Solanum lycopersicum: one gene and its partners. The protein of the gene in region 1 binds, or shares a complex with, the protein of each later gene. Links are inferred from orthologs where the notes say so. Each region holds a gene or a part of one and is shown in the gene's direction. Other genes may lie near its edges. The genes, in order: WPP domain-interacting tail-anchored protein 2, RAN GTPase-activating protein 1, myosin-15, RAN GTPase-activating protein 2 and WPP domain-interacting protein 1.

Region 1 (6,029 bases):
TTTGCGAAATTGTATTTAATTTTTATACAATATTTGTGTGTAATTGATTTTGTGTTTTAAACCGTATATGACCATCATATATTTTTTTAATTTTTTTGGGTAATCTATTTGTATAAAATATTTTATTATGTTCCTATTTTATTTTTTTTGTATAATTCTAGGAGTTTGTATAATGTACAATAATTTTGGTATATATATTATAGTTATATATGTGCATCTGTGATTTCATGTTTTTTTTTTAAATATTAATGATCAAACTGATTGTATATAATATTCATTTGTTAATTGTATATATAGTAAGCTTGAAATATGTTTCTATATTTGAGGGTGTAACGTTTATATATACAATATTTTATTATGTTGATAATTTTTTGTATATATCGACGAATTTGTATAATGTATTATAATATTATAGAGTGATTTTAACAAATTTCTTAATACAAAATTAAATAATTGTATACAAATAGCTATTGCCTCATAAGACTTTGTATATGTTACCTTAATATACAACCCGCTATATACCTAACTTTAGTAATTGATATTCAACTAATAGAATATACAATTACGAACTGTTTCACAATACCTTGTATATATTAACTTAATATACAAATCACTATATACATAACTTTGTAATTTGTATATAAATTACACTACCTGATGTTCTCGATATTCTTCAGATTTGTCCAGTTCTGATGAGACAAATTCAATCTCTTCTGAATCAATGTTTATGACTTTTCTCTTACTTCCACCTTCAACAATTTTAATGCCGCTAGATTTCGCGTTGTTGATGACTTTATGAATTGCCATTGGGTCATTTTTTTTCATTGATCTCAATTCTTCAATAGATTGTTCAACTTAAACTTGTTTATGTTTTGCCATATACCCTACATTAACCTAGAATCCTGAGTTAACCCAATTGAAACGAGGGTGGATTATCAACAACATTGACATGCAATGACATACCTCTCGTAATTCTCATACATGGACAGAAATTAACTATTCTGATTTTGAAAGACTTGTAATCTGATAAGTAATAAAGATTTTTTAAAAAAAAATATGAAAAAACTAACAATCATACTACATATACAATTGTTATAGAAGGAATCAAGAAAAAAATATTGAAAGCCATGAATTTGGCGGTTACCTACGAAAAGCGGAAGAACATCAGAGATAGAAGGTCAAAATTTTTTCAATGGAAATTCAAATTAAAAGAGAAGAGTAATTTTAGGAAAATATATGGAATGAAAATAGGAGAGATAAATTTAATTTTAAATAAAATTATATAAAAATCTTTAGATGACTATTTTTATTCTGTATACAAATAGATAGTAGTCCCATTAATTATAGCAAAAAAAATAAAACTATATTTACTGACCGTAAATAAATTAAACTATACCCTTATTAACTTATTACATAGGGATGTTTGCCATCCCATGTAATTTTCCCTTATTTTTTCAGTATGAATAAAATCCCAATTTTTTGATAAAAAAAAAGTAAATTTCTAAATTAGTCCACCTCCTATTTTTCTAAAAAAATTAGAAATAACAATTTAGGTAAGTTTGAATGCAATGAATCAAATATCTATAAAGAAAAAAAGTATAGGTACTAAATAATTCCATTTATTATGCTCTTAATTGCAAACTAAATGAGTCCTATAATTAGAAGTAATTGACAACATTTTAGTCACCATCAAAGGTTCTAGTCAATATTAGAATAGTAAATGCTCTTTTTTTTCTTAATTAGAAATTTTGAAATGATACTCTGAATATTGAAAAATAATTTTTTACTTTTTATCTCGAGTCTAATTGAGTCAAACCTCATAGAAAATATCAAATATCGAAATGAGACAAAAAAAAAATCATCTTAGCCTTAATTTTAGCATTATTATTTTATATGTTATGATTGTTTGGACCCCAATAGTCTAATCCTCAATTATTAAGTTTTTGGTATCAAAACAACTATACCCCCACCACCACTTACCCAACGTGCGCTCCTCCAACAATTATTTCATTTTCCACTCAAATTTCTCCTTTTTTTTTCCTTTCCATTTTCAAAAAAAAAAAAAAAAAAAACTTCTCCAAAATCAAGAAATCTCAAATTGCAGAGGATGAACATTAATGTTTATGGTTTCATTCTTGTGACCAATAATTAATGAAGGTCATTAGATTTTGTCTCTTTTTTGGTATGGTTGCTGACGTGGGGTAATGTGATTGGTTGGTCTGACTGTTGTGGGACCCACGTTAGTAACATTTTAGACACCAACCCCATAAGCCTAAAAATATCTCAAAGGTTGACCCTTTTGTAGATCACAAATATTCTTTGCCACTCTATTCAAGTTATTGTTATGAGAATAAGAGCCATTTTTTATCTTTCATGTTATTAAGGTATGTAGTGAAAAATCTTGTTTTGTTTGATCTTCTTGTTGTAAAGATTGAAGCTTTATTGGTTCTTTAAGGGAATTTATAGTTATGTGTTTGAGAATTGTGTAATTATAGTGTTTTAGTTGAAATAAAGGTTTCTTGTTCAGTGTTTGTACATAATTTCTTGTGGAAAAACTTTGAGCTTTGACTAAAACAAGAGATGGACACATGTTTTTAGTATGGAGGAAGTTAAGTGTTGTTCTTTTTTCTTGAAAAATTGATGCTTTATTGGTTCTTTTAAGGCAATTTGCAATAGTTGGTGATAGTTATATTTGGTTTATATCATAGTTTGGAGAAGTGTTTGAGAATTTTACTTACTTTTTTGTGTAATTGTAGTGTTTTGGTTGGTAAGAAGGCTTTTTGTTAAAGGATAAGCAGGGTTGCTAGGATGACAAACATTCCTTTACCTCTAACCCTGAGGTTGTGAGTTCGAGTCAAAAGAGCAAAAAAAGGGTGGTAGCTGTAAGAAAAAAGTTTTCTTGTTTAGTGTTTCTTGTAAAGATTGAAGCTTTATTGGTTCTTTAAGGCTATTTGCAATAGTTGGTGGTGGTTATGTTCTACTTGTTTCATAATTTAGACAAGTGTTTGAAATTCTACTTACTTTTGTGTAATTATAGTGTTTTGGTTGGTATAAAGGTTTCTTCTTTAAGAACAAGCAGGGTTGCTCGGACTATAAGAATTCCTATACCTGTAACCCTGAGGTTTTGAGTTTGAATTACAAGGAGCAAAACAAAGGGTGGGAGCTGTAAAAAAAAGTTTCTTGTTTAGTGTTTGTACTTTAATTTCTTCTGGAAAATCCTTCAATTTTCACTAAAACAAGAGATGGACACAACAATTTCTGTGTTTGAGTTTGGAGGAAGTTAAATTGTGCTGCCACTATTAATATGAGGCCATAAGTACTTAGAAGCTCCATGTTCTGAAACATTAGGTTTCGTGTGACATACATAGTTGAAGTCACTAAGTGAAGCTATGAGGGGAGCTAGGCCCCCTTAACCGTTAGATTACATTGTATAGATAAGATCAAGATTATTTGTATGTGGATATAGTGTATGTTGAATCCACTTGGTTTCTTAATGTGTCTACTTCTTTTTAATTTGAATTCTGTTAGTGATAATCCTGCCTACGCTCTGGGTACAATGACCTGAAATAGCTTGTGTTGACAGTTTGGGTGATTTCTTGTTTAGTAGGTAGATAGAAGAGAAGTTGTGTGGTCGAATTCTCAACAAATATAAGCAATTTGATGTCTATAAATGTTTGGATACAACTCTAATGTACTGTAGGTAGATGAACTTTTTCAATAATCCTTATTATCATTTTAGCTAATTAGGCCTCGTATTGCTCTAGTCCTAAGTTTGATATCTGAATCTTCCTCGTGGTTGTCTAGCTATTTCAATATTTTCTCAAAGAACAATGAGGCAACAGATTGTTGCACACTGTTCTCGTTCAATATTCAGTTGCACCAGTGTTTGGTTTATTTTTGAGGAGAAAGTGAGAAGATTGCGTCAAGGAAAGTCCTCACAAAGCCATGAAGGTATGGTTGAAGCATGAGTGAAGAATTCGGATTGAGTATCTGTAAATAACCAACTGATTAGTTCCGTTGGTTGGATAAAAGATGTTATGGGGTTGGACAATACAACAGCATACCTTTACTCCAGACAAACTTGTGGTCTCAGAACATGTTATGTTTGTATAAGGGGCTCGTGGAGTAAAATTTTCAAGCATCTGCTCATCGGTGTAAGCATGAGGATGATCTATATGGGGTTTTTAATGTCTCAATTACCTTTCATCATGTTTTGTTTCCATTTCTCTTTTGGGCGTTATCGTCTTCCTATCGAACATTGACTTATACTATTACAAAAGAAATGCGGTTTCTGTTAACTTTGTCAAAACCATGTACAGCTGACTAATTGCCTTGGCACACATTAAAGTACAAGACATAGAGAGATGTCAAATCGAGAATATAAGCTTATTAACACCTTGTGTTTGCTATATATCCCTTCAAGCACTCTTACGCCTTTTATGTGCCTACTTAATTCATTTGGTCTGATCAATTTGGACCTGCATTCTCATCTCGTTATGCTTTCCTTCCCATTTGCAGCTGCCTTATCAGAAGTGCTGATCAATGGCAATTGAAGAATTGGCTGTCCGTACTTCTGATATTGTCAATCCACAAGTAATGGAAACATTGTTGATTGAAAATCACTCAAGTGAAGCCAAGGACATGGAAGAGATGAGGAGTTCCATGGAAATATTGAGTAGAGTAGATTTGGACCTTGCGTATTCTGATGAGAAGTTGACGAATCTTGACAATCTCTTGATGCGTGTCTTGGCCTGCGAAAATGAAGTTGAAGCAATATCTTTCGAGAATGATGAGATTTCTCCTGAATCGATTGAGAAAGTTCTGTCGTTGGATCACTTATCTATCATTTTGAACTCTGAGATAAGACAACTGGACAATTTCTTAGGCACTCTTCAAGACTTAGTCATTGAAGCAAGGCAAAAGATACCTACGCGCAGAGAATTTAGTGAGCTGCATGTGATAATGGAGAACAAATTTCATGACACTGAAGAGTTATTGAGAATATCGAAGGAACGTGTCCTAGAAATGAAGATGCAGCTTGCCAAATTGCAGATGACCTCGCTAGCTTTCGACCAAAATGAATGTAAGTTGTGAAACTCATTAGGTTCAAGAACGTGTTTTTCCCTCTCGTTACTAACATATCAAAGACATTACATCTTTTTCTGGTGCATGTATTTTCAGGGAGACATAGGATGAGTTTGGATTTATCAGATATTAATAATGTTTCAGCAAGAGAATTGAAGCCACACGCACAGACAGTTGAGCAAAGACGTATATTAAGAATGTTGGAAAAATCTCTCGAAAGAGAGCTGGATCTTGAGAAGAAGTTGACTTTACATAAACAAAATGAAGATGATCTAAAGTTGAAGCTCCGGTTAACCGAGCAAGTAGCTCTGTGCATGGAAGAGGGTGCAGAGGTTATATGGGGTAGGTTTTTAGAGTCGGAAAATGCAGCAGAGGTACTTATGGGAATTTCCAGAGAGATGGTGAGCCGATTACAGGTTGTTAACTTCAATTTGAACGGTTCACTTCAACGAGAGAAAGATTTCACATTGAAGATTGATAATTGCATAGGACAGATAAATGCTAAAGATATTACCATACAAAACCTTAATAGCAACAACAAACATCTTGCTGTTGAAAATACTGAAGTATCCTCGTTAAGGGACAAGCTAAAACTTTCAGAAGATAAGTTGAAAGAATCTGAGTCTAAGTTGCTGAAAGCAAATGAACTGAATGAAGTAAGCGAAGAGCGTCTTAAAGAACTGGAATGTATTGTAGAATCTCAGAAAGAAGACATCGATATTGCAGAACATAAGGCTGACAATGCAGAGGAAAAGGTTGCACATTTGACGGAGACAAACTTGGAACTGCACGAAGAGTTGGATTTTCTCAAGAGTAGTAATGAAAGTAATGCTAAAAAGGTCAGCATTCTCGAGAAGAAGGTCAGGGAATTAGAACTTCAGCTACAAAATGCTAAGACATCATCCGAAGCAGGTCAAGAACAACAGAATATGTTGTATACTGCC
Region 2 (6,102 bases), on another chromosome or scaffold:
TTGGAGCAACTCAACATGATATAGACATAAGCATTGGGTGGCCTAGGAAAAAATGTGTTTTCCAAAAGAGAAGGGAGGTTTAGTATTCAGGTCATTGCATGATGCATCAAAAGCTTTTAGTGCAAAACTTTGATGGAATTTCAGAAGTGCAACAACTTCATTATGGGCATCCTATATGTGGAACAAGTATTATAAAAAAAAAAAGCATACTATAGAGCATAACATTTGGTGGCTAGTTAAATCGGGTAATTCTAATTTTTGGTTTGATAATTGAACTAAACTAGGGGCATTGTGGCATGTGGAGAATACTAATGCAGGGAAGAATTAGAGGTAATTTTACAGTCAATTCAGCCTAGGAAATAATCATATCCAAACATGAAAGGAAGGCATATTATCATTTATATGGAATAAGGGGCTACCTTTTAAAGTGAATTTCTTCTGGTGTTGTGGAAAAAAAGAATTTCGACTGATGATAATATGAAGATGATGAAAATTCAGATAGCGTCTTGATGTTGATGTTATTCAGATAAGAAGGAGGAAGTAATGACACATGTTTTTCTAACAACCCTCCATAAACATCATGCTTTAGAAGCAATTTGCTAATTTTGTAGGTATAAATATGGAGAACAAGCAATTACAACACCTAATAATCACCTGGTGGAAGCAAAATCAGAATGCCAAATTGAAAGTGGTGTTGAATGCAATGCCAACAATCACCTTGTGGACAATATGGAATAGGAGGAATAGCTTGAAGCATGAATGAACTACCACATACAATGAAATAGTGATGAAAGTACAAGAAGCAGTGAGGAAGCTCATCAAAGTATTATACCCCTGGATACATCTTAGGAATGACACATGGCCCCAGATTGTCACAAATTTAAAAGAGTACAAGCCTAAACTATATGATCACTATGTAATTCGAAGGAAACCTGAAAGAAATAGAGTAAAATGCAAAACAGATGAGGAGACAAAAGAAAATCTCGGTGCAAAATCAATAGGTTTTGTGGTGAGAGATGCGGAAGGAGACCCGTTATATACAAGGGTGAAAAGAATAGGCGAAGCAAACAACATGGAAACATACATGGAAACAAAATCTCTTACTTTGCTAGAAGCAGTTCACTATTGTCAAGAGGAAGTTTTAAGAGAGGCTATAATAGATTCAGGCTCACTATGCGTAAAAATTGGTGGAACGAGAGTGGAAAGTATCGTGGGACATAGTAGAAAGAACTGAGGAAATCAGGAAGGTCATTCAACCATAAATGCCTAATCACACATACTTTTAGAGAAGGAAATTTTGCGATAGACTCTTTGGTTAATGAAGTAGTAGAATCGCAGGAGACAAAAAACTATCAATTTTTTCAAGAGCTACCAAGCATTACAAGGAAATATCTAAATATAGAAAAGGCGCATACACCAACTAGAAGGTGAAAACACACAAAATGAACATTCAATGGAAGCAGTGCAGGAACATAAAGGAAATAACATAAATAAACATCACGGAGATAGTCACGTAAACAGAATGCATATTTAAAAAACATCAGACACAAGAGGAAGCATAAAGCACAAATATTTCAAGATGAAGTATGCTTCTTAGAGGGAAGTAAAATTGAGCAAAACAAAGCTACAAATAGAGTTTCTAGCTATAAAAGAAACTTTAATATAAAGGGGGCTTGTTGGTCAAATTATTTGAGTTGGGAGTTAATGACACCAGGAATAAACGGAACATCAAGCGCACAATCGGAGTCAAATATGAGCAAAAACGAAGCCCACCTATGATCCCTTGGGACTACACCTCGATCTGAAAGGGAACGAGAATCAGTAGCTCATACACGAAAGAAAAAGAAGGATATAAGGACGAAAATCTTACATGTAAGCAAGGAGGGCGGTAGAACTTCAAAGGCATTCAAGGAGCTAGATGGAATGATACCACGTCAAAAATCACAAAGATTACTTGGTCAACCATGAAGGAGACAACTTAGAAACGGCGGAGAAAGGATGGAAATGGGGTAGGGTTTTAAGAAAGTCAAGTGAAAGGATAGTTGATGGAAGAGTTTTGGAAACTCTACATATTATTTCCTTTTGGACCCGGGTACTACTTTTTGGGCCAAGTCATTTGTTGTTTCATGTACTAATCGGGCATTAGCCTACACTAATAAGATGATCTTCTATCAAAAAATTAATTTTAAAAAACATTTTAGTGAATTATGATTATACAAAGTAATAAAAAATCTTAATCGAACATACCAAGAGGTTGCTAAGATATCGGAGATAACAATATTAGATTAAACCATCATAAGAATCAATAATAGATTCAAATACAAACATCTACTGCAATTTAAAATAATTCCCCAAAATATCAATAGGTAATGATGACCTTTTGTGGATATTTTCAGATTAATAAAAGAGATCATAAAACTCTAGATGAGGAATTCAACGGCTCAGGGGGAAAGAGAACCATGAATAGAAAAATCCCAAGTTGAACGATTGTTATAGAGTTTGAGAGCGAGAAAACAATTAAACAGATGAATATTTTTAAATATTAAAAAGAAATAGAATAGAAATGAGATTTAACGAGTGTAGTATAAAAAACTTTACACTATAGTGCACACAAGTTAATTCTCCTATTTCAAATAGTTAAAAGAATAATTTTGGCCCTTTTTGTGGCTTAAAAAAAGGGGCATTTTCCCTCCAAATCGAATTCCTCAAAAATTCACGACAGCAGCACACGACTATCATGATTGCACATAACTTGTATTTGAATTAGTTTTAATTATCTCTTTATCTTTACTCCAACTCCACGTCTCTCTCCCCTCTCTTTTCTAGGGTTTTTTGGATCTCTCTCTTATCCCACTTCGCCACTTCTAGGGTTTCTTCCAACCAGTAAGTTTCCTCTTACTCCTCTCTGTTTACATTCATTCATGAAGATTTTAGGTCTGATTTTGTTTTGTATTGTTCCATTTGTCTATTCCTTCAATTATGGTTGCATTTCCTTCTTTTTTTTCATCATTTGAATGATATTTTCTGCTTCGTTTTAACGAATACTGAGACTCACTTTTAAGTATTTGAATTAGAATATAGTTTATGTTTCAGTGTAGATTTTGATGGAGTTCAATGAGTTATGCCTCAAATCTTAGAATAGTTGATGTAGACAATGTGAATCATTTGTATCTGTTCTGCTCTATGTGTGCCAGTTTTTAGTTTTGTTTAGTATATTTAGAAATGGACATTGAAGGGAAATGCATTTTTTAATGATGGCCTTAAGGATGAAGGTGTTTGGTTGGATTTTGTTTGTACTAAAATGGAAGAAATGTGATATAGTGGGATTTGTGAACTCTTATTCATGGCTCTGCTGGTTACACTTATTCCTTAAGACCTTCAGTGGCAAGTATTATTGTTTTTGTTTTTCTGTAGTACTCTGTAGAAAACTTGAGAAGTCCCAGTGATTTGAAAGAGGCATGCTTAGTTCTTGATGGCTCCTTCTATCTAACAACGCCGGACAAATGAAATAGTACAAAATTTGTTTTGATTCCGTGATCGATCAATCTTCGTCTTCAAGAGGAAGGGAGTGAGGGAGAAGCAAAAGATGGAGTCTTTAGTCCTGTGGCTATCTGAAAATTTTCCCATTAATCAACACAAAATGCCAATAAATCTATTTCTTATTTTCTCTTGAATTCTATTTGAATTATTGCTTGATGCAAGGGAAAAACCAAATGCTATAAACTCAAAAACTTTGAGATATGAACTCAAAAACTTGCTCGAACCTTGACTAATTCCATGTGGTACCTTCTACCTTCACCAACACAATTACCAGTTAACTCTGTCAACCAAGGCTTAAACAAATAAGAAGAAATCACCTAGTGTTTTTGCTGCTGATGGAAAATGAACTCATGATCTCATGGTTCTCAACCCCTTTCCTTGACCACTGGGACACACCCTTGGGTGCCTCAAGCATAATGAGTTTTTGTGTGATATTTGCTCACAAACTTTAGAAATTACTTTGGGAAGTAAAAGAATAGTCATCTTGAATCATGGATAGTAGCTTATCATAAAAGTGCATTTTCTTTTTATTTGGAGATGAGATGGCAGCAAAAATGGAATAGTTCACCACCTTTTGTGAGCCTTTTGGCCCTCTACAAAAGGGAAACAATAATACTTCAATAGATTAATCGAGCTCTTAGCCTTCTAATGGTAAGTGCTTAGATTTGCTCAACTGACAAGATATAACGGTTAAAAGTCTGAAGTCAACTTCCTTTTTTGGATCAAATATATGATTTATCATTTAGTTAAATACATTGTATTTGGTGCACAGGGGAGATGTTTCGTTTGAGGAAGATATTACCTTATTGCACCAGTGTGATGCTTGTATGTAATTTTAACTCTTGTGTCTGTGTTTTGCAACTTATGACCATGACCTGAATGTCAATATGCACGATCCTTACTGTTATCATATGACTAATATCATTTTAGAAGTCTTGCATTTATTGGTCATTCTGCTAGTGCAGTGAGATAAAATAAATCTGCTGATCAAGTGACTGCAAACAAGATGCCATCTGTACTTATTTTATGTGCATTGCAGCACCTCAGCTGAAAAGCTTGGAAGGTGCTGAGAAAAGACAAGAAATTGGAACAATTTAATATTAACTGACGTCAAATGTCAGAACTCAGAACTGTTTGTTGCTACTTGCTTGTTGTGGGACAACTCATGTTTATTATCCTGAGGATATATACTTGTAAGAAACATTATTCAAATGATAGACTATGGAAGAAATCTTCCTTTTTCTTTGAAACTCAAAAGTAACAGTGCTGTGTGGAAAATAGCGAAGCTTGTTGCTGATAATGCTTGGTGGTTAATTGTTAGTCTTGTTTCCCATAGTACTTTCTTGTGGAAAGTACCACTAGGCAGGTGCGGATCCACATAGAGCTTCGGTGCTCGAGCACCCATGGACCCCTACGTGAAATGTATATAGGTATATAAAAAATACTATGCAACCTATATAATTAATTAGTAAGCACCCGTTAAATAACTGTTGGATGTGACTCGTTGGTTAGTAAGTGGGTGCTGAAGCTGTGGTACCGCAGGTCACGAGATTGATCCTCCACAAGTAATTTTTATATACTTATTAAGCTGTCTAATTTTCTATGTTTAGCATAAGATATTCACGAGTGTAAGAGATGTTATTATTACTCATTTTAATTTTAAAATGCGAAAAGTCGTCGAGTACATTATAATTTGACTCAGTCTTCTTTCCCGATAGTAATATTAAACATGACTTTTGCGTTAATGTTTTTCACTATTGTGTTTAAATAGTATTTGCACTTGTACTAAATGAACAGTAAAATTTAATGTTAAAAAAAGTGAAGCACCTACTAACTTCAGATCCTTGATCCGCCACTGCCTCAGATCCTTGATCCGCCACTGCCTCTAGGTATATCTTATCAATGTGTAATCATTTATTGAAGTGGGTTGGAATAGAATTATTTGTGATTGTAGTAATGACATATTAGATTTGATCTTATTCTGATCACGCAGGTGCTTTGGCATAATCTTTGCACTTATTTAGATGTTAAGAAAGTTATTGGATAATCATTTTCTTGCATGTGCCTGTAGAAGGATTCATTTTCCTTCAAGTTTCCTACACATTTTGGAGGATTTAACATAGAGGAAGGTTTTTACCATTTTTCAGACAACTTTCATAAATGCAAGAAAGTTAACCATCTGGCCCCTTTCTTGGCAACCACACCATAGTGTTAGTGTAACAATTTGTTGGGCTTCTTTTGGAAAGAAAATGCTCACTAATTGGAAAAATAAATAAAAGCACATCGACAATTGTTGAAGTGCTTATCTTTTGAGCTCAGTCACTGACATGCTGAAAACATACATATGTACCCTAAGTTGCTCGGACTTGGGTGCGATGTCTGATACGCGGGTGTTGATCTAGATGTCGGATCCTTCATGATCAAAATTTTACGATCCAGGGGTTTGTATACCGGTGCAAGGTTCAGCTAAAATAATTTAAATATCTAAATGTTGGATCCTTTATGAGACATTATGTTGAAAACGTCAAGGTATTCCGTGGAGAAAATACTAATCAAGAGGAG
Region 3 (5,537 bases), on another chromosome or scaffold:
AACTCGTCGGGCATTATTGTTCAATTTCACATAGTTTAAGGGCAGTTTTGACCCTTTTCCGTAAAAAAGTAAAATAGATTGTCATGATTTTTCTTCAGATCGTGTTTTTATTGTAATTGTTGGTCTACTATATATTTTTTTCTAGTAATTGGCTCTGAGAAAACTATACATCCTACTTATCATATCTGAAAAAAAAGATAAATCTCCAGACTGGTCCCAACAGTGTGTGATTTGACGTGTGTATTTTTTATTTGCTTATAGTTGTATGTTTTATGTGTTTTAATGCTAATGTCAGGTAGCTTTTCCCGTCTTTTATTTGGAATAAGCACTAAATGAGGCTTGAAAACATTTCCTTCTTTTTGCAGGTTATATTGCTCGTAATATATATACTGCACTGCGGGAAGCATCGTCTGTGATTGTAATCCAAAAATACGTGCGACAGTGGATCATGAGGAATGCTTATCAGCAACTTTATGCTTCTGCACTGCTAATACAGTCTTGCACTCGTGGTTTTGCTGCTCGACAGAAGTTCTTACATAGGAAGGAGAATAAGGCTGCTACTATCATTCAGGTGAGTATATGCCTTTGCCACCTGATATATCTTATACATTCATAAATTTGTGCTTTAAAATTCAAACTAGCACTATTTAGAGGGATACAGTTGTGTATTTGTCCCCTCACCAAAAGAAAAGGAAAAAAACAAAAATAGAAATTGTTCTAAGATAATGCTTGATATTCTTTCTGCTACTGCATAGGCACATTGGAGAATGTGCAAGATTCGCTCTGCTTTTCGTCATCGTCATTCCAATATTATTGCAATTCAATGTCTTTGGAGGCGAAAAATGGCAACAAGGGAGTTCAGAAGGCTCAAAAAGGTGAGAAGGATAGTACTTCTGTTTTTAATGTCTAGCTTCGTGTGTACCAACAAATCTCTGCTTGAAATATCTCCATTTGATGGAGATATCTTCATTTACAAGGACAAAAATGTGATAAAAGTGGCTAGTAAGCATGTAAAATGTTGTAAGCTGGATGGTCAATGTTTTCATGGAATGAATTAACGTTTTAGTTGATTGCATGCTGCTTTTGGTCAAAAGAAGCTTATGATTGCATCTGCTGAGGATGCAATGTTGTAACACGAAGACATGACAATGTTAGCCTGCCACTACTGGTGACCATGTCAATTGGTCAGTCTGTTTTTATTCAAAAGAAGCTTATTATTGCATCTGCTGAAAATGCAATGCTGTAATACGAAGAATTGACAACGATTAGCCTTCTGCTTTTAGTGATCATGCCAATTAGTCTATTAATGAAATTTAAGTCCAGAGTAATTTTACCCAACTTTGTGCTAGTATAAGGCATTAGAAAAATGCCAGAATATGTCTAGCCATAGCCTTCTAGGACACAAATTTCGAGTGATTTAGATGTTAGCTACAAAGTTCTGTGAGTAAGATGAGTGATAAACAGTTGACTTTAGCAGTCAAGTGAGAAATGATGTCATCTGTTGCCTTTTCTGTACGAGTCAGGTCATCAGACTGTTCATTTAAAAGGACTGCCATGTTAGGGTTGTTGTTTTCTTTGTCGGATCATCTTTATTTTGCTGCATTATTTTCTGCTTATAACATAAACTACATCGATGCTAAAACTATGCTTCCCATGAAAACACATATACACTTTTCCACAAGGATATTTCAATTTGCATCTTATTTTTGCTTACAGTAACTTTAGGATATTGATGCTCTTTCTTTTACTGTTGCTTGAGATTCTATATGTTTCTCTTGCCCCATCTGAAAAGAGACACAAGAACTAATGTTACAGAGATATGTAAGCAAATTCCTTTTATATACTTTAGTTGAATATAGCCAATACAGGATCTTCTCAATATTGATTCAATCCTGTGGGTTTGCTATCCTTATAGATAATAATAAAGCTGAAGTTCCAAGTTTCTGTGATGAAGTTCCATTCCACCAAGTTTCATGTAGTTCAGCTGTTATTTTTATTGAAAAGTTTGACACTTATATTTTTCCCCTTGTACAGGAAGCTAACGAAGCTGGTGCTCTCCGTCTAGCAAAAACCAAGCTTGAAAGGCAGTTGGAGGATCTTACTTGGAGGTTGCAATTAGAAAAAAAATTACGGGTACTGTTCCAGTGATTAACTTATATGTAAATGATTTATCGCTTCAGTAGTGATTTTTTTATCAAATTCACCATATTTTGCTCGCTAATGGAATGAAATATTGTTTGAACATTGTGATGCAGCTATCAAATGAGGAGGCTAAATCAGTGGAAATTTCAAAACTTAACAAGACTGTAGAATCTTTAATCCTCGAGTTAGATGCAGCGAAGCTGGCTGCAGTCAATGAGGTCAATAAGAATGCTGTGCTCCAGAGACAACTGGAATTATACATGAAGGAAAAAGCTGCTTTGGAAAGAGAAACTTTTTCCGTGACCGAGTTGAGAAATGAAAATATATTTCTGAAGGTCATATCAGTGTGATTTTCTGTATCTGTTTGCATCCACAACTCTGATTAGACTCATTTTTGAAATTGATGATTAATGCCCTTTTGTAAATTTAGTTCTAGATGTTGAGAGCATCTTTTAAGCACCCCTCTTACTTGAACTTCATAAAGCATCTTGACCTAATAGTCTCACAGTCACTCTCTAGAATGGGAAGTGTAAAGATATGACACCTAGGCGTAACTCAACCCCAAAAGCTAGCTCATGAGGGGAGGTTTGTTCAAGTCCATATAAGGAGACCAAATTCCCATCCTTTTACCCATGTGGGACTTCTTAATACTCCCCCGCACAGCCAGATCTCAACTGGATCGTGAACACTTTTAAATGGGTGCCCAATATCGGTAAACAACAAACTGGGATGGGCAAATATATGAAACCTGAGCCTAATTCAACCCCAAAAGCTATAACAATAATTACAACATAGTAGCAGCAATTTCCATGTAGGTCTAACTGATTTCAAGTATCACCAAACATATACAATTCATAATTTTTTATCCTTTCTCAACCTGAAGAATCTGAATTAAGTACAAGATACGATATTGATACAATGTTAATAATTGAACCAGTTCTAAGGTGAACAGTTTGGAGGACGAACAGAGATTTGAACTGGAATTGGGCGACCCATACCTGTACCTCCACAGCGCAATGCATGATGTGTGGACTAGGATTTAGGCACATGCCATAGGTTCGAACCTTGCAGTAGACAAAAGCTTAGCATATAAGTGGAGAATGGTGTAGTAACAGGCCAATTATCCAGCAAGTTTCAAACCATGTGACATAGGCCGTGAGGATTTCTTTGTTATCAAGAAAAAATATTTGCATTTGTTCTTTCTTCACAGTTATTTTCTCTGGGGCAGGGGTACTTGGATTTGGGTGGGTGGATGCTTTTAGGGTTTCTATGGCCACGAGTAATTTTTCTTTAATTACTAGTAGATCAGATAATCATATGTTTCCTGATTAGTTGACATTTGGCATTATTTATACACTACCTTCACTAGACCCCTCTTGTGGGATTACACCGGGTATGTTTTTGTTGATTGATTAAATAAGTTAACAAAATACTGCTTCTAGACTACTTGCCTGTTTTGGTATACTATGACTTTAAAGGTTTAAATACTTGGTTTTTCTTTAGAGCAGAAAGGATGCTCTTTAACAATTTGAAGCTTATAAGAAGGCCCAAAGACTTGACGTTGATACTTATTTTGGTGGCTTTGCAGAGTTCTTTGAGCGCCTTGGAGGAAAAGAACTCTGCATTGGAGCATGAGCTAATAAAGGGTAAAGAAGAGTCTACTGACACAATTGCCAAGTTGAGAGCAGTTGAAGAGACATGTTCACAACTCCAACAGAACTTAAAAAGGTAATTTTAGATATATCAAAGAGGAGTTGTTTGGCAATCTGATCACATAGTTAGTCTTCTGCCTCTTTTTACTGGTAAAACTTTATACATATTTTAGGAAATAAAACGATATCTGTTTAAGTTTTAGGAATGTAGATTTTCAGTCTCTATTTACATCCATTTCTTGCGGTGCTACCATATACAATTTTTTAACTGGCTGATTTCCAGTTGTTTAAAAACATGTGCATCTTCTCTATGTTAGTATGGAGGAGAAGCTCTCAAATTCAGAGGATGAAAATCTTATCCTCCGACAGAAAGCATTGAGTGCAACTCCGAGAAGCAATCGTCCAGGTTTTGCCAAGTCTTTTAGCGATGTAAGCTGTAATTTCTTAAATTGCAATGTATAATCCATGGTGGATAATTCTTCCTCGCTTCCCGTTCCTCTAGATCTAATAAACTTTTGTCCCCTTTGTGCAGAAATTCTCTGGTGCACTCGCTCTGCCCTCTGCTGATCGTAAAACTTCATTTGTATGTATCTTTTTTTTTTGCTGTGTTAGCTTAAGAACATAGTTCTATTTTTATGTTCCTTGATCTCTAACACACTTATTTTGTTTGTTAGGAATCTCCCACCCCAACAAAAATGATAGCGCCTCTTGCTCAAGGATTTTCTGATTCACGTAGAGCTAAGTTGACCAGTGAAAGGCAGCAGGTTGCTTTCCATATCCAACTAGTGATGATTGATATTCTTATTTGCTATGATTGCTTGCTTATCACTGTTGGGGAGGTGTGTGCAAAGTGTCAGAAATTAGGAACATGAGTGATGAAGGATACTAACATTGGGGTAGTAGACGAGGATTATAGAGGATGAAATCTCATTACTTTCCTTCAAGTTCTAAACAACACAAATAAAAGAATGAATTTCCCTTGTGAGGGAACAGTGATGAGTCCCCTTTTGTGTTACTTATCATCCACCCGCAACTGTAGTTTTGGTGGATAACTAGTGCAAAAGGTTTAAGTAATGGTGGCTCTAATGTATGCTGCTTTAAAATGAAGTCTCTCTTGCAGGAGAACTGTGAAATTCTTTCAAGGTGTATCAAGGAGAATTTGGGATTTAAAGATGGAAAGCCAGTTGCTGCTTGTGTCATCTATAGGTGCCTTATTCATTGGCATGCCTTTGAGTCAGAGAGGACTGCTATTTTTGACTTTATCATTGCCGAAATCAATGAAGTTCTGAAGGTAATATATGTAATGTCCTTGGTTGTAAAAGATGTCTGGATTTTAAACTCTTCTTGGTCTTTGTCGAACTCCTTGATTCTTTCATTATTTAGTTCTTAGTTAGGTTTTGCGCAAGTGCATTTTGCAGATTATCGAAGATACATGATTAAATTATATACCATTTGTTTGTTTTGCTCTTGTAGTTGCTATCTTATGAGTAAATTCCTACACCAACTTGTATTTCTTTGGATATTATCTTTGATTTGTCCAAGTTTTGATAAGCCATGGTGCAATCTTGAGCAATTGAGTGCTAAATAACAGTGACTTGATGTGTTTGTCATATCTGACTGCTGCAAGGTTAAGCAACATATGTGGAACTTCTTGAAGGCCTACCAAGAAGTTGGAGTGTTGGAGTTACAGTCCTAGTCCCATATCCATTGTGTTGCAGACCTAAAATAGACAAAAGTGTTCCT
Region 4 (6,319 bases), on another chromosome or scaffold:
ATGTATAGATATTGTATAAATTATATATAATCATGTATATATGATGTATCTATATACATCTACTTTTATTGTTTGTAAAATATATTTTTACATATGCATATATGTTTTTAGTTTCTGATTAACTCAATTTTCATCTAAATAGTCATATAACTGGATTGTATCATTGTTATGTATATTAGGTACATGCTTACGTTCAGATGAATATTTATAATTCAAAGTTAAATCAATAACATGTATATTATTCTCCTTCATTAATATACACAATAAATACACACAAATTCTGTGTCTGCCCTTCTTCAACTCAATGTATATAAGCAACTCTATATTGTTGTAGTATATATATAACATATATATTTTTTTAGAAAAACTAATGTTGTTGCATCGTTTCTTTAATAGGGTGATTTTGAACTTAATATATTTACAAAACAATAAGTAGAAGGGAAATATAAGCTAATAAAAAGATAAATCAAATTTTTATTTTTATTAATTAAATGTAATGATGTGTATATTTATTTTAATTTGATGAGGTTCAATTATGTAATTAGATGTATCTCACTAATATTACTTTATAGATGATATTTATTGTGTATTTTTCTTTTTATCTAATCCGCCACTGGTCATAACTCATTGAAAAATCGCACTCCTTTCAAAAAAGTCACAATTTATCGAAAAATCACAATTTTTTAAAAATTCACAACCTAAGTTAAGAATATCATAGTAATTTAACATTAAGTTAGGAGTTCATGCTTTTAAGAATATATATATATATATTATATTGATTTTTTTAAGGATACTATGTTTTTTATGATTATTATATCTTTGATGAAACATGAGTACTTCAAAAAACTTATAAGTTTGTACTTTATTTTTTTTTATGTCGTTTGAATAAAAAATCTATGTTAATAATTTATTAACCTAGCACTTCATATGAAATATTTGATTTCATAATTATGATAATATTTAAACATTTTTATTCCAAATTAGAAGATTCAAAATATTATATATTGTATTAATTTTGTATAAAAGTAGAACAAAAAATCGACGCATATGTAAAAATAATCATAGTTAATACAACCGTTATATTAAATTTACTCAATGTATGTGTTGGACATATTAAATTTTAATTGTATAAGAAAATATATAGATGAAATCATGAAAATGAGACGTTATTGTATTACGTGTAATTATAGTTATATTGCAAATTTTAACTTAATTTAATCTTGTTAGATGTTAGTTTATTAGCATTTTAATATTAATATTTAACATATTAAATTGCTCACTAACATCATATAATCTCGTGAATAGTTTAAATTTGCTAAAGCCTAAATGGCTTAAAATTATGATATTGTTTAAAGTAATATTATGATGAACATAATTTATTGCTTTCTATGTTTATGATAGATAAAAATCTAATAATAATAAGAGATATAAATTAATATAGTGAACAAAATTTGTTATATTCTCACTTTTAAATTCGACAATATAAACACGAAAAAGTTAAAAGAGTAGCACTTTAATTTTAGAAAATTTCAATTTGTGTAGAAATAGAAGTGTAGTAGGAAGTTTTGAAACTTTTTAGTTGGATAACCATTATTTTTTTCAAAATAAAAATTAAACCCCATATGACTAACTAATAATATACGTGTTTTTTTTTTTCAAATACAATTTTGTAATTTTATTTTTTGTAGCGTTGACACGTAGGTACTATAAAAATAATATTTTTAAAAAGTAAAATTACAATTATTTTTTTCAAAATAAAGATTAAAAGCCCTCGACTAACTACCAATAAACATGTCTTATTTTTTTTCAAAACAATGTTATAATTTTTATTTTAAAAAAATATTATTTTTTTGGCGCGCTATCACCTATATATATATATATATATATATATATATTGATGGATTGATAATTATGACTAACTATCAATACACGAGTTTTTTCAAATACAATTTATAACTTTTATTTTTAAAAAAATATTATTTTTTGTGGCGCTTACGCGAAAGCACTATCACCTTTCCTGTTATACATATAGATTATTTTATGAGTGATTTTTTGAATCTATAAATATAAATATTTCATACTTATAAAATACACCGTAATAGAAAAAGAATTATCTCCTTTATCTTCATGTCTTGCCATTTTCAATTTATAACTATATTGTTATGAGCTTAATTTTGTAATAATTATTCTCATTAAATAAAAAATATTTTGAAAAAGAAATCCAACAATTCTTTGATTTTGAATGATTTGTTTATTTTAAACTAAGAAAAAAAGTTATTATTCAAAATATATATATATTTTTTTTACATTAGGTTATCTCTCGAGTACAAGATAGTCGAATATAAAAACACTGTTCCCACACAACACACAGCACACATTGCTAACTTCATTTTCAGTTGAGATTTTCTTCACTTCCACTCTCTCCGGCGGCGCGTCGAACTCACACATTCTCTCTCGTTGTTTGCCGGTGAGTTACAACACACTCACTCCAACGGTAATTAGAAAAATCCCCAAAAGTAATTTTCTTTTTCTCTTGATTTTTAGGGTTTTCGCGGTTATGCTCTGTATGAGTCAACTTTTTTGGTCATGTGATTTCACAGATCTGTGCTGGATTTTAGTATTTTTTCTTGTTTAATGTGCTTTAGTTTTTGCTTTTATGTAGTTTTTTTATGTTTATTATTTTGGGGTTGGTAGAGTAGAGGTTGCAATTACTGGGAGGAGGACTACACTCTACAAACCCCCACTGTTAGGTATAAAGTTTTTATTTTTCTCGTGAAATTTCTTTGTTTGTAGGGGAAAAAGAAGGATTTTTGTTTTGTATTACAAGTTTCTGGTGTTTTTAGCGGCTCTGTAAATTGTATATATGTTGCTCTGTTCTGCTCATATGATTCCTTGGTAATGTGTGGTATTTTTTTTTGTATCCTAGAAAGTTTTTTTGTGTTATAGTGTGAAATGTGAATATACCTGGGAATGTACCATTTTTGGTTTTTGAGTTTTTTTTTACATTGTTGGATATGAATATGGTGCATTGCAAGGTGGTTATAAAATGAGAGAAAATTCAATCTCGTTTTTGATGATGGATGACTGTAGAAACTTTCCCGTTCTTTTAGACACCTGCTTGGTGTTTTGTGGCGAAAATATTGAGTTGTCAAACAATTATATCTGATTTCTATGACGAAGAATTTGAGCTCTTGAAATTTGATTCGCTTTATGTTAAGTTTTTCTTGTAGGTGTGCACGAATTGTTTCTTGCCTGGTACTTTGTTTTTTGGTTGTTATGTTTTTAACTGCCAGAGCTTAATCTTATAGTGGTTATATTTCTTGAAAGATAATCACTTTATTTTTCTATAGAAACTAAAGACACGATTCACTATATTCCTTTCACTCTAGGTTTTCTGCCAATGGATGCCACAACAGATAACTCTCAGCGCAGACCGTTTTCAATTAAACTGTGGCCTCCAAGTGAGAACACAAGAAAAATGCTGGTGGAAAGAATGACGAATAATCTTTCTAGTCCAACCATTTTCACCCGCAAGTACCGCAGTCTATCCAAGGAAGAGGCTGCCAAAAATGCTGAAGAAATTGAAGATGCAGCTTTTACCATTGCTAATCAACATTATGAGAAGGAGCCTGATGGTGATGGAAGTTCTGCTGTGCAACTTTATGCCAGGGAATGTAGCAAGCTTATCCTGGAAATTCTAAAAAAGACTCCCAAATCAGAGGACAAGGAAATTTCGATTTCTGAGGTAGTTCCTACTGTTCAGGAGACCTTTTTTGATATCTCAAAAGGTAAAAGGGCTTTTATTGAAGCGGAAGAGGCTCAAGAACTTTTAAAGCCATTAAAAGAGCCTGGAAACTCTTACAGCAAAATTTGTTTCAGCAATAGAAGCTTTGGTATAGATGCAGCACGTATTGCAGGCCCTATCTTGGCAACCTTGAAGGATCAGTTGAAGGAAGTTGATTTGTCAGATTTTGTTGCCGGAAGAAATGAGGCTGAAGCACTTGATGTCATGAATATATTCTCAGAAGCTCTAGAAGGTTCTAACTTGAAGTTTCTGAATCTCTCTGATAATGCTCTTGGTGAGAAGGGAGTTAGGGCATTTGGAAAGCTCCTTCAGTCTCAAACCAACTTGGAAGAATTATTTTTGATGAATGATGGGATTTCACAGGAAGCTGCAAATGCTGTTAGCGAGCTAGTTCCTTCCACCGAGAAGCTTAAAATTCTTCATTTTCATAATAATATGACTGGTGATGAAGGGGCTGTTGCGATTGCGGAAATTGTGAAGCGCTCTCCTTTATTGGAAGATTTCAGGTGCTCTTCTACCAGGGTAGGTTCTGAAGGAGGGAGTGCCTTGTGCGAAGCACTTGGGATGTGCTCCCATTTGAAGAAGCTTGATTTGCGAGACAATATGTTTGGTCCAGAAGTTGGTCTTGTGTTGAGCAAGGCACTCAGCCAACATGAAAATCTTAAGGAAATTTACCTGAGCTACCTTAATTTAGAGGATGAAGGAGCAATTGCAATAGCTAACGCTCTTAAAGATTCAGCCCCTTCACTTGCTGTCTTGGAGATGGCAGGTAATGATATAACTGCTGAAGCTGCTTCAGCAATAGCTTCTTGTATAGCTGCAAAGCAGCTTCTTGCCAAGTTAAGCTTGGGTGAGAATGAACTCAAGGATGAAGGTGTAATTCAGATTGCCAAGGCATTGGAAGGACACAAACATCTGACTGAAGTTGATATGAGCAGCAATGCACTAAGGAGGGCTGGGGCTAGGGTGCTGGCTCAAACTGTGCTGCAGAAAGATGAGTTTAAATTACTAAATGTTAATGGGAATTTCATCTCAGAAGAAGGCGTTGACGAGTTGAAAGAGATCTTCAAGAAATCTCCTGAAATGCTTGCATCCCTGGAAGATAATGACCCGGAAGGAGAAGACGAGGGTGACGAGGAGAAAGAATCTGGAGATGAGGACGTTGAGGATGAACTAGAATCAAAACTGAAAAACCTGGACGTCAAGCAAGAGGCAAGTGTTGACGCACACGCACCAGATAGCAATTAGAATCCAGTACTTGACGATTTTTCTGCATGTGGCAGTTTTAGTTTTACCATTTTCTTTATGCTAAGCTGGCCATATTATGTTCCTCCAGCAAGTGCTTCTAACATATAGTTCCATCAGTAATTTAAATTTGGTGGAATTGAACTGTTGCCTTAATTGGTCACGTTAGGTCTCTAGTTGAACTATGTAGGGTACGAGAGAGAACTACTTTTTATTTATGTTGAACCTTCTTTTGTGTTATGTAGACTTTAATCTTCTTCTTTTCTTTTAAAATTTCCATGATGCATTTGACTTGTTTTTTTTTATCGGTGAACGAAATACGTGTGCCGGAATCATCGTGAAGTCCTTGGTCTACTTCCATAATGCATTAGTATTTTTCACTTTTTCGTCCAAAAGATAATGTGTTTTTATGAAAAAATTGTTACATGAATTCAAAATAAATAAATAAAGATGTCATAATTTTTCAAAAAAGTAAATAACAAAGTTGATAATAGTAGGCATTTTAAAGATTTAATTAGGATAGAAGAGGGAGTTTGCTTCTTGTTCAAAGTTGAAAGGCTGTTTAATTTTTAAAGTAAAATTTGATAGGCAATACAATGCCACATTCTGGGTCTGTTAAATACTGGACAAGAGTACAGCCTTCAAAATAGTGAACTAGCTCGTAACATCAACTTGAAAATATGCTGGACATGGCAGCCAAGCTACTGAAACTTAATCCACCATTGACTCCAAATTAGAATAATTAAGAATTGTAGCAAAAAGCTAATGGTACATCTCCAATTTTTCCACTACTGCACAGTTAACTAGTAGCAAATGCAAAACCTAAAAGGTATTAGATGCTAATATACATGTAAGACACTGAGTCAAACAGACGACTAGAACCATAGTTAGAGATCTTAAATGCTCCCCTATGTCCACTAATGACTTCACTGGCCAAATTAATTCCTAGGTTTTACAAGGGCAACCTCAGGATATTAAGCTTGATCTCCTCCTCCTGTGGGCCTTCCACGATAAACCGTCCACACTATGGCCAGTCAAATCGTGATAATCATTTCTCATGGAACTTGCACTCTCGGATTTGAACCTTTTGGGAGTTCTTCCATAGGTATCTTCACTTGTTGCCTCACTCGCCACAGACACAGTATCGGGCTTCAAGTCATGTCCAGTCCTCTCAGAATCAGCATTGCCACTAGGCAACTCACCATTTGAGACTGACTGATGGTCCCTGTTCCTGCCTTTACTTGATTGCGTAAAGAAATCATCTCCGTT
Region 5 (6,229 bases), on another chromosome or scaffold:
GGAGGCAAAGTTGAATGCAAATAGCAGGTTTGGTTCGTGGAACTCACAGTGCCAGTTCCATTGTGAAGCCAATGTAAAGTTTTCAAAATCCTATCTAGAAATAGGCTAAACATTGTTGGATGAATCAAACCAGTTTGTGTAAGTTCCATTTGTTTAATAATGGCTGAGACAAAATAGTGGATTGACAAGCACAGATGTGCCTTTTTTGTAGTATTACATTTCGTGTTGTGATTATTCCTTTGGGTCCTTATAGTGGTTTGGAGGTGGGGGTGGAGGCTGCTTTTCTCTGGAGCATCAAGGAAGATGTGGTATATGGACAAGAAGAAATGTTTGTTTTTTAGTATGAAATGAAAATGTGGCAAATACAACACTTCTGCCATGTAGTAGAAAAAATGTTTCAGAAACTTTTTTTTTGGATAGGTAATGTAAGTGTACTATTGATGAGAATCCGCAAAAAGGAAATGCTGATGCATAGTACACTAAAGATAACTTTATACTGTGTATATAAAGTCACTATCTGAGGGCCTATCGAATACAACCTTCCTACCCTATAAAGGTAGGGTAAGGTTTGCATACATCCTATCTTCCCCAGATCCCATGTGTGGGACAATACCGGATATGTTGTTGTATAGAAGTCAAGATCTATTCCTTGTACTTATTTAGTAGTTACTTGGTTCTGATGAACCCATAAGTTATACACTACATTTGGCCCCTGTTGAAATGCTTTCATTTCTGGCCAACTATGGTCCTCTTGTATTGAAATGCCGATGCTACTACAGAGTTCCATAGCTGCTATGACTTCTGCATGTAAAGGAGTCTCTAAAGCAAGAGATACTGTAAAACAGTGCTGAAGCCGTCTTTACATTGGCTGGTTTGGTCTTTTGATGATGGTCGGACTCAGTCACTCATGGAAGTGTTAGTCGAGATTATGTGCACTGTATGGCCTTGTTCGAGGCTGCTCTTTAAATCTACCCTCGTGTGTTCAGTGGACTAAGCTTCACATTTTCAAGTGGTTGAATGGATTTATCTCTCTGTAGATAACTTTGATCTACTAAACTAATGGGGACAAAGTTTGTCCAAATGCTTGTAAGAACTCAAACATGGGGGATGTCGTCAGTTCCTGTATTGCCCTCGAACTTTTCCATTTTTCACCATTTAGAGTGGACAACTATGACCTTAATTTGACGTTAGTTGACAACTATGACCTTTAACTTTAGTTGTGCATAAGTAGACACTTAAAACTATAATCTTTAACTTTACGTGGCATCCTACATGTATTACGTCCTGTAGTACACGTGTGTCTACTTGTTCAATTTTATACAAGTGTAAGTGACTATTTGTGCACACTCAAAGTGGAAAGGCATACTTATTCGTTGAAGCCAATTTAAAAGTCATATTTATGTATTATTCTTTTAGAGTGGGTACCTCTTTTGTTGTCACTCGAGGTACAATATTAGCTTTAGAATCAATTAATTTGGATTCGTGTTGGAAATTGCCATGAGGTGAAGTGTTCCTTATTGAAGGAAACAAAAAGATAGAACAATCCATTTATTCGAAGAGAACTCTTTTGTTTTTTTGAAAATAAATGTAGATCTTATTCGTGAAGATAGAGAGATCGTTTTTCAAAAATAAATATAGATCTTACTCGTGAAGATAGAGAGATCGTTTTTGAAAATACAAATATATGGGAAGGTAACAATTAAATGCAACATGTTTCTCTGTCAAATACTCTGGCAAAGTGCCTAATTATTTCCTCTCACACAAAGAAGATTCCATCAATAATTGAACACACAGATTTGACCTCCACTTAGTTATTTCTGCAGTGTCATTTTCCATTTTTTTCCCCTAAAAAACACTGCATCATGTGGGTTTCCACATCATCTGCACACTACTTTGCCCCACTTTGGTCTCTTTATCTTCTTGGCTCTCCCATGTTCTATCCACATCCTTTTATTATAATCGTGACGTCTGAGTTAGTTTATACGTATCTCGATTATATTTTAATAAGATATCTACTAATCTTTACCTCCCATCAATACATATATGTAAACTTTTTTCACATAAAGTTATGTACAAATGAAAAGATATTACAAAATTTATATTCGATACTTGCATAATTCTTAACTTAGTTCATTAATCTAAAGGAAATATTTCACGTGGACTAACACAACTTTATTCATTATAAAAAATAAGTACAAAGAATAGTTTTTAACCAATTAAATCAAATTGGTTGTGTTAAATTTTTACAAAACTAATATGATTTCTTTTTATATATATATTTTTAATGATTTGATTGATATAATAAGTTAAGCTAACGTTTTAATTTTGGTTACCGTTGTGTAATAGCATGTTATAGAAATTATCACATTTGTACCAAACAAAACAATGTTGTTGATGAAACGGTCACATTTGGTATTTAAGTTAAAAAGTATAATCTTCTATCGAGATTTCAAATCGTGCACTACTAATATTCGACCTTTCTTAGTGATATTGCACTTAGATATAGAATATATTGTGACTATGAGTTATACACGTTATGAATTTTAAACATCAAGTTAGAAATTTAAGTGGAAGATAATAATAAGCGAGTTTATTGCTTATTGAAATTTCAAATCGTGCATCATAAATATCGAGTTATTGTGTAGTGATTCCATCGCAAACATAAAGTAATCCCCCAAATTCTTAATCTTTCGTAATGTCAATAGTAAATTAGAAAAAAAAATTGAAGTTGTCAACTTCTTCCTATAGTTCATATAATAATTAATAAAATTATTGAAAATAATAATAATCAATTACGTATTATTAACAACTCCCAACCCGACCCGATCTACCCCACTCCTTTTCAAGTCGTCTTCCCCAAATTATCAGTTGTAGCAATTTTGTGGCTATAAATTTCTGAATCCACATCAAATCTAGGGTTTCCATATTCCTCAATTCCATCTCATTTCTGCAAATCCATCGATCATGGAGGAGAAGGTATGAACGATTTCGTATTCTTTTTATATAGCTTCACAAATTTATGAATTCATTTTTAGTTCCAAATTGAGCATAATCCATTCATTTAGCTGAATCCACTTATTTTGCTGTTGTTGTTAGTGTTTTTAGCTGGAATTTTTACTCAAGCTATGCAATTCAATTTATAGTGAATTTTGATAGATTTTCAGTTTCCATGAACTGGAATGATGGTTGTTTGTTTGTTCTCGATCTTGATCTGAGTTCTTCATTTCTGTTTTTTTCATTTAATAATGAGTGCAGTTTAATCTGCTTATATTGGACTTTCTGTTTATGTAGTGTTCTGTCGCTTTCCCAACTTTTATTTGTCTATTCAGTTCATTATCAATTTACTGGATTCATCTTTGGTTCCAGATTGAGTATAATCGATAGTGATGATTTGTTTAGCTAAATCCAATTAGTTTGTTGCTGTTAGTGTAATGATCGGATAATCCAATTCATTTATCCAAGTTATGTAAGTAAATTCTCGATCTCGATCTGACTTATTCTTCTTCTTTATGTTGTCTAAAAGGCTAAAACCCTGAACTTTATGCTGTAATCGAACTTGATTGGTCAAAGTTTGGAGCTTTAGTTGGTGGAAGACATGAAGCAATGACCACCACACTTCAAGATTTGGATGATCCAGATCGGAACAAGGTTGAAAGCAATGGTTCCAGTGTTATTAATCACAATACCCCTATTTTAGATGAGTCTAAAGGTAAAGGTATTGAAACTGCGGACCCAGTGGGTTCACCTCCCTCAGTGAAATCCTCACCAACAGCTAAAGGATTTGGCTTGAAGAAATGGAGGAGGATCAGGCGGGAAGCACACAAGGATGAGGACAGTAACACAGACAATGCTAAGTTGTTGAAGCGTGGTTTGTCGAGCTCTGCTGCAAACTCAGCAAAACCTGTACATTTGTCCACTGGATCGATCCGAAATAGTGATGGATCTGTTTCTTCAGTAAATGCACTATTGGGTAGCCCTGATGTTCTTGTTGATGGCTTTGGTCTTATTGGTAATTCTGGGTTGGCGATTCATCCTATATTTTTGGGTGGAACAGACTCGGAAAATAGTGAGGATCGGAGTAGTAGGTCTTCGACTGCAGCCAGTGCTCCAAAGTCAAGGTACGAAGCACCTGTTTTCCATGGTTATATGCCTGTTAAGAATGGGCCAGGTACTTTGGGTGGGAAGATGGGTACTTCAGCTCAGCAATCTCATCGGGGAAAGGGTCAGGCTGAAATTAGTAAAAAGCCTAGAGGAGAAAGGGTCAAAATAGAGAAGGAAAACTCTCATTCAAGCATGGAATCCGACTCACAAAGCTCCAATTTTCTACCTATGCAGAGTAATAATCATGCAACAAGTAATGGTATGAAAGGTGGAAGCTCAGTGAATAATGATGGACAATTCAGTGATGAAGTTCTCACCAGAGAAAGACCATTCAGCGAGGAACTTCAGACTGCTCTAGACAGAAGAAATGATAAGGAGTGTGAAACTCAAGAAGATCTAGGCGTTGAATCCGCCTGGGAGGTTAAAGAAGAGAGGAGTGGGTATCAGGGGTTGTCCACAGATCATGATCCTCTGCTGGAGTCTATCTTCACCCTTCAAGCTGCTCAGGAAAATCTTGAAAGAGGTAGATCTTCAGTTTTCTTTGAAGTATACGATTTTGAGCCTATTCTAGTATGTTCTTTTTTTGGTTTTGATTATGCCTTCTATTTTCTGCTTGGAGTCTTCAGCATATTGTATGAAGCAAATTTCTTTTTTGGGTGGAAGTTTATTCTAAGTTCAAAGAAGTATTAGAATGATTGCAGTCATTGCATAGTTATGTGCGACGTCCCCACACCCCGCGACCCGGACGCGTCCCTGCTTTCCCCAAATTTGAACATTTTGTTGTCATGCCCAAGAATTTAGGACTGGCATTGCTTCAGGAAGAGGTGACAGCAAGTCATGAAATTCGATCTGATGTAGTATTGGTAATCTTAATGGTTATGTACATAATAGAAGGATTTGAGTGTGTTCTAATGGTTTTCGCTATGATGCATTTATTGCTTCAAGAATCAAGATTATGTCAAAAGAGTTAAGGTTATTGAAACAATACCATTAAGTTCTTCAGTTTGCCTAAAATAATCCTTTAACTTTGTTCGTAGCTAGTACAACAGATGTTGGTTATGCTTTTTTTTATTTTTTTATGATGAAATATTGGTTATACTCTTTGAAAAGTTGATATCTATTTGTTATAATAAATTCTGATATTGCAACATTGAAGGTGGATAAATGTGTTGCTATTTATTATTTTGATATTGTTGGCTTGCTCAAGATATGTAGTTTAAGCACCAGGACGTGCATTTTCATTGGCTGTAATTAACATGTTCTGTTCTATTTTTTACCACAAAAAAGGTTTTGGAGGAGAGATAATTCTGTCCAATTTAAGGCATGAATAGCCAACATGTTTCTTTGGAATATGGGGAGTTAGAAGGTGTAGTGGTTTACTTGGGACTTAAAACTACAGGTTTTATTCAGCCGAAGTTGAGGAAGTGATTTGGGTAAGAAAAGGTCCTGATAAAAATACAAGGATTTTTAAATGCCTCGGAATATTTTCCTGTTACAGTTTTCTGTTTCTACAAATATTCCTGTGGTGATTGGTATAAAAGTAGGGACTCCGGAATAGAAAGAGTATCTCGAGGATTAGGCTGTTTTTGGTGTTTGTATTAATTGCAAAGCAGCAGAACAGTCAAGAAGATGGAGAAGTAAAATCACGAGGGAAAATGAAAAAATTGTCTCAGAAGTCTCATAATACTATATCAAATACTGTAACGAGGAAGAGTTAAATAAATTGAAAGAATGGCTACACCTGATCTCTTTCTGCAATATGATAAGAGTATCCTATGCTCCTTGAAGCAAACAGATTAAACTTAAATCCGACCTAAAGCTCTCAATAGCAAATGGTAAGCTGATTCTAGTAAATATTGTTCTGACTTTCTAATGGACCCAAGGGCTTTTATATTGGTGAAAGGTTATTGGTCTCTCTTTCTATGAATGGCTGCAGTGCAAAGCATAAGGACCAATTTCTTGCTTCTTTTTTTTTGTCGTTAAGCTTGCCCTGCTTTTGTTGCAAGGAAAATATGCAGATTGGGATGATTATCTCATGCTGTTCTTGAGCTCTTTAGACCTCTTTTAGTTATTGTTTCTTTAGCACTTCAGTCACTTTGTTTACATGTATCTTCTGGACCTTCTTTGT

What was found.
Region 2: WPP domain-interacting tail-anchored protein 2 (region 1) and RAN GTPase-activating protein 1 share a complex: the UniProt entries of both Arabidopsis thaliana proteins name them as parts of the ran complex. The link is inferred for Solanum lycopersicum from reciprocal best matches to the Arabidopsis thaliana genes WIT2 and RANGAP1.
Region 3: WPP domain-interacting tail-anchored protein 2 (region 1) and myosin-15 share a complex: the UniProt entries of both Arabidopsis thaliana proteins name them as parts of the LINC complex. The link is inferred for Solanum lycopersicum from reciprocal best matches to the Arabidopsis thaliana genes WIT2 and XI-I.
Region 4: WPP domain-interacting tail-anchored protein 2 (region 1) and RAN GTPase-activating protein 2 share a complex: the UniProt entries of both Arabidopsis thaliana proteins name them as parts of the ran complex. The link is inferred for Solanum lycopersicum from reciprocal best matches to the Arabidopsis thaliana genes WIT2 and RANGAP2.
Region 5: WPP domain-interacting tail-anchored protein 2 (region 1) and WPP domain-interacting protein 1 share a complex: the UniProt entries of both Arabidopsis thaliana proteins name them as parts of the ran complex. The link is inferred for Solanum lycopersicum from reciprocal best matches to the Arabidopsis thaliana genes WIT2 and WIP1.

The regions. Positions count from the first base shown.
Region 1 is NC_090804.1:5,112,457-5,118,485, reverse strand, and holds the start of WPP domain-interacting tail-anchored protein 2, read left to right. Parts: upstream 1-1,893; 5' UTR 1,894-2,384; exon of another isoform or gene 2,385-4,154; intron 4,155-4,518; 5' UTR 4,519-4,542; coding exon 4,543-5,083; intron 5,084-5,181; coding exon 5,182-6,029. UniProt on the Arabidopsis thaliana protein: Together with WIT1, required for the nuclear envelope docking of RANGAP proteins in root tips. Plays a role in nuclear shape determination.
Region 2 is NC_090808.1:59,910,342-59,916,443, reverse strand, and holds the start of RAN GTPase-activating protein 1, read left to right. Parts: upstream 1-2,598; 5' UTR 2,599-2,883; intron 2,884-6,102. UniProt on the Arabidopsis thaliana protein: GTPase activator for the nuclear Ras-related regulatory protein Ran, converting it to the putatively inactive GDP-bound state. Plays a role in spatial signaling during cell division.
Region 3 is NC_090807.1:50,255,899-50,261,435, reverse strand, and holds part of myosin-15, read left to right. Parts: intron 1-365; coding exon 366-571; intron 572-755; coding exon 756-875; intron 876-2,034; coding exon 2,035-2,133; intron 2,134-2,255; coding exon 2,256-2,477; intron 2,478-3,730; coding exon 3,731-3,870; intron 3,871-4,111; coding exon 4,112-4,223; intron 4,224-4,326; coding exon 4,327-4,377; intron 4,378-4,468; coding exon 4,469-4,558; intron 4,559-4,902; coding exon 4,903-5,085; intron 5,086-5,537. UniProt on the Arabidopsis thaliana protein: Myosin heavy chain that is required for the cell cycle-regulated transport of various organelles and proteins for their segregation.
Region 4 is NC_090800.1:74,924,670-74,930,988, forward strand, and holds RAN GTPase-activating protein 2, read left to right. Parts: upstream 1-2,372; 5' UTR 2,373-2,467; exon of another isoform or gene 2,468-2,516; intron 2,517-3,389; 5' UTR 3,390-3,400; coding exon 3,401-5,053; 3' UTR 5,054-5,319; downstream 5,320-6,319. Other genes in the region: probable ATP-dependent DNA helicase CHR12, read right to left, coding at 6,017-6,319. UniProt on the Arabidopsis thaliana protein: GTPase activator for the nuclear Ras-related regulatory protein Ran, converting it to the putatively inactive GDP-bound state.
Region 5 is NC_090809.1:844,912-851,140, forward strand, and holds the start of WPP domain-interacting protein 1, read left to right. Parts: upstream 1-2,631; 5' UTR 2,632-2,976; intron 2,977-3,523; 5' UTR 3,524-3,603; coding exon 3,604-4,624; intron 4,625-6,229. UniProt on the Arabidopsis thaliana protein: Mediates and enhances the nuclear envelope docking of RANGAP proteins mediated by WIT1 and WIT2 in the undifferentiated cells of root tips.